2 linked regions of the Rattus norvegicus genome follow. The protein of the gene in region 1 interacts with the protein of each later gene in a biochemical or structural test. Links are inferred from orthologs where the notes say so. Each region holds a gene or a part of one and is shown in the gene's direction. Other genes may lie near its edges. The genes, in order: Cops7a and Cops6.

The links.
Region 2: the proteins of Cops7a (region 1) and Cops6 form a complex in vitro, tested with the Homo sapiens proteins (3 studies listed by BioGRID, with this or other methods). The link is inferred for Rattus norvegicus from reciprocal best matches to the Homo sapiens genes COPS7A and COPS6.

Annotation. Positions count from the first base shown.
Region 1 is NC_086022.1:159,457,242-159,461,154, reverse strand, and holds the start of Cops7a (COP9 signalosome complex subunit 7a), read left to right. Parts: upstream 1-981; 5' UTR 982-1,103; intron 1,104-1,124; exon of another isoform or gene 1,125-1,223; coding exon of another isoform or gene 1,224-1,237; intron 1,238-1,453; coding exon of another isoform or gene 1,454-1,496; coding exon 1,497-1,658; intron 1,659-2,012; exon of another isoform or gene 2,013-2,118; intron 2,119-3,913.
Region 2 is NC_086030.1:22,151,145-22,155,057, forward strand, and holds the start of Cops6 (COP9 signalosome complex subunit 6), read left to right. Parts: upstream 1-1,543; 5' UTR 1,544-1,545; coding exon 1,546-1,675; intron 1,676-1,882; coding exon 1,883-2,005; intron 2,006-2,203; coding exon 2,204-2,335; intron 2,336-2,538; coding exon 2,539-2,627; intron 2,628-2,718; coding exon 2,719-2,781; intron 2,782-3,145; coding exon 3,146-3,193; intron 3,194-3,504; coding exon 3,505-3,619; intron 3,620-3,702; coding exon 3,703-3,795; intron 3,796-3,884; coding exon 3,885-3,913. UniProt on the Homo sapiens protein: Component of the COP9 signalosome complex (CSN), a complex involved in various cellular and developmental processes.

The DNA of each region.
Region 1 (3,913 bases):
AAACCAGAACGATTAGGTGTAGTAATCCTTCTGGTTTTAATCGGCCAAAAGTCTGGTCACGTGGTCTGAAATTCCAACGGAAGAAAACCTCAAAAGCCTGACCAATACACTTCCCTTTCCCCTTAATCATTTGGGGGTTTGTTTTGTTTTTTCCAGACCGGTTCTCAAGTAGCCCAGACTGGCTTGGTATTTGCTATGTATTTTTTGCTTCGTTTTTTTTTTTTTTTTTTTTTTTGATTCTTTTTTTTCCGGAGCTGGGAACTGAACCCAGGCCCTTGCGCTTCCTAGGCAAGCGCTCTACCACTGAGCTAAATCCCCAACCCCCTGGGGCTGGTTTTGAACTCCCGATCCTACCTCTATTTCCAAAACACAGGGAAGCGGTGTGGGTCACCACTCCCTGCCCCCTTGCATTTTAAACTTTTATTCTGCTCTTTAAAAAACATGAGTGGTTGAACTACCTAAATTATCTACCGTTGAATTCTAGCCACGTTTGTCTACTTTTTATTCTGCTCTTTGAAAAACATGAGTGGTTGAACTACCTAAATTATCTACCGTTGAAACTCTAGCCATGTTTGTCTCCTATTTTTAGTTTCTGCATCTTCTCGTCTTCCACTAACGCTCATGCGGCCGGAGGAACTTGGCGCTGCCCTCCTCCCCTCTCCTGCAGCTACCGGGCGGTTCATCTACCCAGGACCTCCACGGAGCCAGGATTTTCTCTACACCCGGCATCCACCGCTCCCGCACCAATAAAGCTTTATCGACAGAGCGGAAGCTAGGTGTCGCTCTCTCACCTCCTTCGGTCGGGAAACGGAAGCAGGCCATAGCCGGCCGGAACCCGCCTCTCGAGAGCGGAAGTGCGGCCGGAAACTGGCCATAGAAGCGCGTGGCTAGAGCGACCCTGCGGGGAGGTGGCAGGAAAGGCTGGGAGCCGCTGCCGGAGGTGACGGAGCGGCCGCCCCGCCCCGCGCGCTGGAAGACGAGGCTTCCAGGTAGCGGTCGGTCGCAGTCTGTCCCAGGGTACGACCCGGCCTTGGGCACAGATTCGCGGACCCGGGGCTGCCTCTTTAAGGGAGGGGGTGGAGCCACGAGTGAGGATCGAAAAGGTGAGGTCACGTGGTTGAGGACACGTGCAAGACACGAGTTTAGAGCTGGGAGTTCGTCGTCGTTGGGGTAGACACCATGTGCCACCTCTTCCCTCCCTTCCTCATCTGTCCTGGAACTCAATGGGATGCACGTGGTGGGGCTTGGGACTGCCCCGATGGAGGAGAGGGTGGGCGTGGCAGCCAGGATGTGGCCGACTTTAAGGAACCCTAGAGTTGGCTTTTAGACTTCTTGACCTAATTGCACACTGCAGAAGTGACGTGGTACCTCTTGAGTGCAGTTCCCCACCCTTGAGCTGACCACCCTCACGTGGTTCAGGGACCTTTAGTTTTACGTTCCTCTTTCCTTGCAGCTCCAGAAAACTTGAGGCCAGAGCCCCGCACCAGGGTGCAGCCATGAGTGCGGAGGTGAAGGTGACAGGGCAGAACCAGGAGCAATTTCTGCTCCTTGCCAAGTCGGCTAAGGGGGCAGCACTGGCCACACTCATCCACCAGGTGCTGGAGGCCCCTGGTGTCTACGTGTTTGGGGAACTGCTGGATATGCCTAATGTTAGAGAGGTGTGTTGCTTGCCTGGGTAATTCAAAAAGAACCTCGGGACCAAAGTTTCCTTGAGAATGGTGGGCTCATTTTGTAACCAATAGCCACTCAGGTGAACAGGGTATTGATAATTAGATGTCAGCTTGGAAAAGTAAGCAGTCAAAAAAAGGTCTTCATTTCCTGTATCTCTTACAGAAAAGGGGTCTGTAAACTTACTGCTCCCTTCCTCTGTACCCACAATTTCAGTCAGGGTTTCACTGCGTAGTCCTGGCTGCACTAAACTGGTAATCGTCATCTGGGCTGGCCTTGAATGCTTGAGAATCTTCTTGACTATGCCTCATGCAGAAGTTAAAAAAAAAATTTTTTTTTTATTTAAAAATGTGGAACGCTTTATAAATTTGAGGTCATCTTTGCCCAGGGACCATGCTAATCTTCTCTGGATCGTTCTAGTTTTAGTATATGTGCTGCTGAAGGAAACACAGATTTTAAATTTTTAAACAAAAGAACATGTCATACACAATACCACTCATAAATGCCAGCTCGTCCACCAGTATGATATCTTTACTGTTGTTATTGATGTTGTTGTTTTTCGAGACAGGGTTTCTCTGTGTACTATAACTTGTGTTCTGGAACTCTCTGTGTGTTCAACTCAGAGATCCACCTCCGGAGTGCTGGGATTGAAGATTTGTGCCTATTGATACCTCTTAATAATCCTGTCACCATCATTTGGGAGGTAGAAACAGGTGGATCTCTGAGTTAGAGGCCAGCTTGGTCTACAGACTTGAGTTCCAGGACAGCCCCTGTTACACAGAGAAACCGTGTCTTAAAAACAAAACAACAAATCTTGTCACCTGGATCAGAAAAACCTAATTAAGTCTCAGTTTTCCCTTAAAAAATGGTGATGAGAACCTTGAAACAGCTGATAGAGTGGTTGCCTAGCATTTGTGAGGCCTTGGCTTCCATTTCAGAACTTGGGATGCTAAGGTAGGGCACCACAAATTTTAGACCAGCCTCTGCAACTTAGACCCCATCTCAAAAAAGGAGTAGGGATGTACTCAGTGAAAGAGCCCTTGTTTGTCGTATGCATGGCTCAGTATAGGTACAGTTCTCACAACTCCAATGAGGGAAAAACCGAAAAAAACACTACCTGGGCTGGAGAGATGGCTCAGCGGTTAAGAGCACTGACTGCTCTTCCAGAGGTCCTGAGTTCAATTTCCATCAACCACAAGGTGGCTCACAACCATCTGTAATGGGGTCTGATGCCCTCTTCTGGTGTGTCTGAAGACAGCTACAGTGTATACATATACATAAAGTAAATGATAATAAGAAAAAAAGCACTTCCCTTCACAGTTACAGTAGTAACTGTGGGAAAGTCTGGAGTCTCCTAAAATCAGAGAGAATGGGCATTTGAGTTATGCCATGGTAAATCCCACCCCCACCCCTACCCCACCCCCAGGTAGATGGTGAAGATGCTGTCTTCCCTAAGACAGTGGCAAACTGCTATGAACACAGTGACGAGAACATTCAGGGAAATGGCTGAGTCAAGAACGTTAAAAGTGGGGTTGGGAATTTAGCTCAGTGGTAGAGCGCTTGCCTAGGAAGCGCAAGGCCCTGGGTTCGGTCCCCAGCTCCGGAAAAAAAAAAAAAAAGAAAAAAAAAAAGAAAAAAAGAACGTTAAAAGTATAGAGCAGATGGATGGCCAATCCTGGGACACCAGCCTGTCATGAGAGTGACAGTAGTGTGTGGCTAGACTGAGCCAGGCATTAGAAGACCCGTGGTGGAATCAGAGGATAGAATGTTTTTTGGGACTGCTGTTTCACAAGAAACTGGCTTTTGTCCCTGATTTTCTCTACAGTGAACTAAAGTATGTCCTTAAGATGAGGTAGAAGGAGCATTTCCAGCTTGTGTTCCAGTGAAAGAGATCGGATAAATGGATAAAACAATACAAGTCAGCAATTTATCAGTAACTTACTTCGAAGGCCACAGCTCTGGGTCCTTGGAGGCTAGCAGATGCTGGGTCTATAGCCTTGTTAAAACATTGTTGGGGCTGGGGATTTAGCTCAGTGGTAGAGCGCTTACCTAGGAAGCGCAAGGCCCTGGGTTCGGTCCCCAGCTCCGAAAAAAAGAACCAAAAAAAAAAAAAAAAAAAAAAAAAAAAAAACATTGTTAGGTGAGAACCAGCAGAGTGACATGCCAGGATAAGTGGCAGTGACAGGAGGGAAGGTGCTGTGGATGACGTAAGACCTCGCTATGAGGACATTCTGAAGCCATGGCC
Region 2 (3,913 bases), on another chromosome or scaffold:
CAAGGCCATGATTGGTCCAAAGCACATATGTCCATGACTATGATTGGTTAAAAAAGAAAGAAAAAAAGAAAGAAAGGAAGGAAGGAAGAAAAACAGGCTGTTATTGGCCCCAAATGAATGACTGTGGGCCAAATGCTCTTTCTTGACTTTTTTTTTTTTTTAAAGATTTATCTATTACATATTACAAGTACACCATATCTGTCTTCAGACACACCAGAAGAGGGCATCAGATCTCATTATAGATGGTTGTGAGCCACCATGTGGTTGCTGGGATTTGAACTCAGGACCTCTGGAAGAGCAGTCAGTGCTCTTAACTGCTGAGCCATCTCTCCAGTCCCTTTTTCTTGACTATTAAAGGAGGTTGCTTAGCCTCAGTTATTGATCCAAGTGGGAAACATACTTGTCTTAATCACTGTTCTATTGCAGTAAAGAGACACCATGACCAAGGCAACTCTCCCCCAACCCCTATATTGTGAGAGTTTGTGTAACCTTGGCTGTGATGGAATTCACTTTGTTGGCCAGGCTGGCCTTGAACTCAAGAAATCTGCCTGTCTCTGCCTCGCTAAGTGCGAGGATTAAAGGCATGGGCCACAAGCCTTCCCAGTAGCAGTCACTAGGTTGTGTAGAATCAAGTTGCCTTGCAACTGAAGAAGCAGCTGAACAGTTGGAGTAATCCACTGGGGAGACGGCTCGGGGGATAAAGTGCTTGCTTTGTAAGTGTTAGGAACCGACTTTAGATCCTCAGTTCACCGTTTCAATATTTTTATTTATTTGTTTTATATGAGTACACTGTTGCTGCCTTCAGACCCACCAGAAGAGGGCATCAGATCTCATTACAGATGGTTGTAAGCCACCATGTGGTTGCTGGGAATTGAACTCAGGACCTCTGGAAGAGCAGTCAGTGCTCTCAACCACTGAGCCATCTCTCCAGCCCCCCTGCTCACCGTTTTAAAAACAAGGCAGGCTGGGCACGCTGCACACCTTGAATCTCAGCACTCAGGAAGTAGAGGCAGGTAGATCTCTTTGAGTTTGAACTCAGCCTAGATGAATAGCAAGTTCCCAGCCAGCTGGGCAACACGGTTAGACCGCAGTTCAACAAACAAGTGACCATGTCACTATAGATTATATGCAACGTGAAAAATGTTATATCCTTAATAAATTACAGCGTTTCCTCTTTTTGATCGCAATTTTCTCTGCGTCTAGTATTGACAAAGTATCCCCTTTGAGACCTGGAAACTAACAGCCCTACTTGGGAGGTAAAGGCAAGAGACCAAAAGTTCAAAGTCATTCTTAGATACACAATACAGAACTCATGGCCAGGCCGGTTTTCATGAGAACCGGTAGCAGCAACACAACACAACACAACACAACACAACACAACACAACACAACACAACACAACACAACACAACACAACACAACACAACACAACACAACACAACACAACACACTGAGAACCATGGGCTACCAAGTACTGGCAGACGCCCCGCCCATTAGCAACACAGAGTACACACTGAGCATGCGCCGCTCGCCGACGGAAGCCGAGATGGAAAGGGGCGGGCCGTGGCTGGCGGGCGCGGGGAAAATGGCGGCGGCGGCGGCGGCGGCTGCGGCGGCGGCGGCGGCGGCGGCGAACGGGAGCGGAGGCAGCAGCGGCATGGAGGTGGATGCAGCAGGTAACGGGGTGCAGGGAACGACTTCTGGAGTCGCCCTTGCGGAGTGTCTTGAGTACTTCTTAAGCCCGGGAGAAGCGACATCTCTCCCAGGATAACTTGAGGGCAGGGATGAACGGCCCGGCTCTACCGGTCCTCTGCTCCCATGTCTAGGGGAGAATGTGTGGGCCCGAACTCTCACCCGCTATGTTTTTCTTTCACTTTTAACAGTCCCCAGCGTGATGGCCTCCGGAGTGACTGGGAGTGTTTCCGTCGCTCTTCATCCCCTTGTCATCCTCAACATCTCAGACCATTGGATCCGCATGCGCTCCCAGGAGGGGCGGCCTATGCAGGGTGAGTGTTGTGTGTAAATCTCAAAATTTCCTCTTGGAGATCTCCTCTTGGAGATCTCCTCCAGTCCCTCCCCCCGCCCCCTTTTCCAAATTACTGTTTCCCCAGTCATTAATACACACTGACTTCAGAGTCTCGGGAAAGGTTTTCGATGCTTGAACCTCACCTATTTTCCTTGCACTTCTGCTTCTCTCTCCTTAGTGATTGGGGCTCTGATCGGGAAGCAGGAGGGGCGAAATATCGAAGTGATGAACTCCTTTGAGCTGCTGTCTCACACCGTGGAAAAGAAGATTATCATTGACAAAGAATATTATTACACCAAGGAGGAGCAGTGTGAGAAGGGAATAGAAGTGGGCGGGAAGGAGAAGTGGGGAGATTTTTGTTTTGTATTTAGAATAGAAAGGTATAGTTATGCTAAACTGACCCAAAATTTGAGGGAGGGAGGAAGGGAAAAGCCGGTAAGGAAACACACCAGGTCCATCAAACTCAGGAAGAGAGGTTTAAAGAAATATTTACTCTGGCCCCTTCTTCTCCAGTTAAACAGGTTTTCAAGGAGCTGGAGTTTTTGGGTTGGTATACCACAGGGGGGCCACCTGACCCCTCAGACATCCACGTCCATAAGCAGGTATAAAAGCTCACATGTGTGCATGTTGGGGAAGAGAACAGAAGGTTATGGGAAGAAGAGATACTGACTTTTTTTGGGCTTTGTCTTCTAGGTTTGCGAGATAATTGAGAGTCCTCTCTTTCTGAAGTTGAACCCTATGACCAAGCACACAGATGTGAGTATTGTTGACCCTATGACCCCTTTGTCTTGATCATCTGCCCCTATATGCCTCTGCTCTGATTTACTCTGTGACATCATGTGTATTAGAGAACGCTTGAGTTGAATCTCCACGCTGCTGTTTACTTACGCCCATCAGTTGTGTAACTTCATCTCTTCAGTGGTGTCGCCATATGTAATGTGGGTAAAACTTACTCCAGTAGAGAGAAAATTGTGAGCTAAGTGTGGCAACAACACTTGTAATCAATTTTAGCACTCAGGAGATTGAGGCAAGAGAATTGTGAGTTCAAAACCAGCCTGGCAAGTTCAAGTGCATTTGCTTCTAGTAAGAGCTGTTCTCTTGTCTCCGTCTGTTTTTACAGCTGCCTGTCAGCGTTTTTGAGTCTGTCATCGATATAATCAATGGAGAGGTAATAGTTACCCTGCAATCTTCAAATCCTGCTTTAGCCTGTCTCCTAAATGCTGTGCACATGTGCACAGGCATGGGGCAACCCTGGGTGTTTGTCGTAGCTTTCTACCTGGAGACAGAATCTCGTGTTTGCCAGGCTGGTTGACCTGTGAGCTTCTGGGATTTGTCTTCACTTCCCATTTTGCTGTAGAAGTTCTGGGATTATAGACACATGCTGCCACATCTTGATCCTTAGTCTCGTGCAGCAAGCGCTCTACCCACTGAGCCGTCTGCCCAGCCCTGTTTCCTTGCTGAGAACCCTTTACTCTGCAGGCCACAATGCTGTTTGCTGAACTCACTTACACTCTGGCCACTGAGGAAGCTGAACGTATCGGTGTAGACCATGTGGCCCGGATGACAGCTACAGGCAGTGGGGAGAACTCCACTGGTAAGGGGGTTGAATTCAGTTCTTTGGAGGTATGGGTTGGGTGTGGCCACTTGCTACCTTTCATTTGTCCTGTCCCCCTGCAGTGGCTGAACACCTCATAGCTCAGCACAGCGCCATCAAGATGCTGCACAGCCGTGTGAAGCTCATTTTAGAGTACGTCAAGGCCTCTGAAGCAGGTAGGAGAGGTACCTCACCTTTAACCATCTTTCCTCCCTCCTGGAGAAGTGACAACATCCACATCAGTGCAGCCTCATTGTGCCCTTAGGAGAGGTTCCCTTCAACCATGAGATCCTG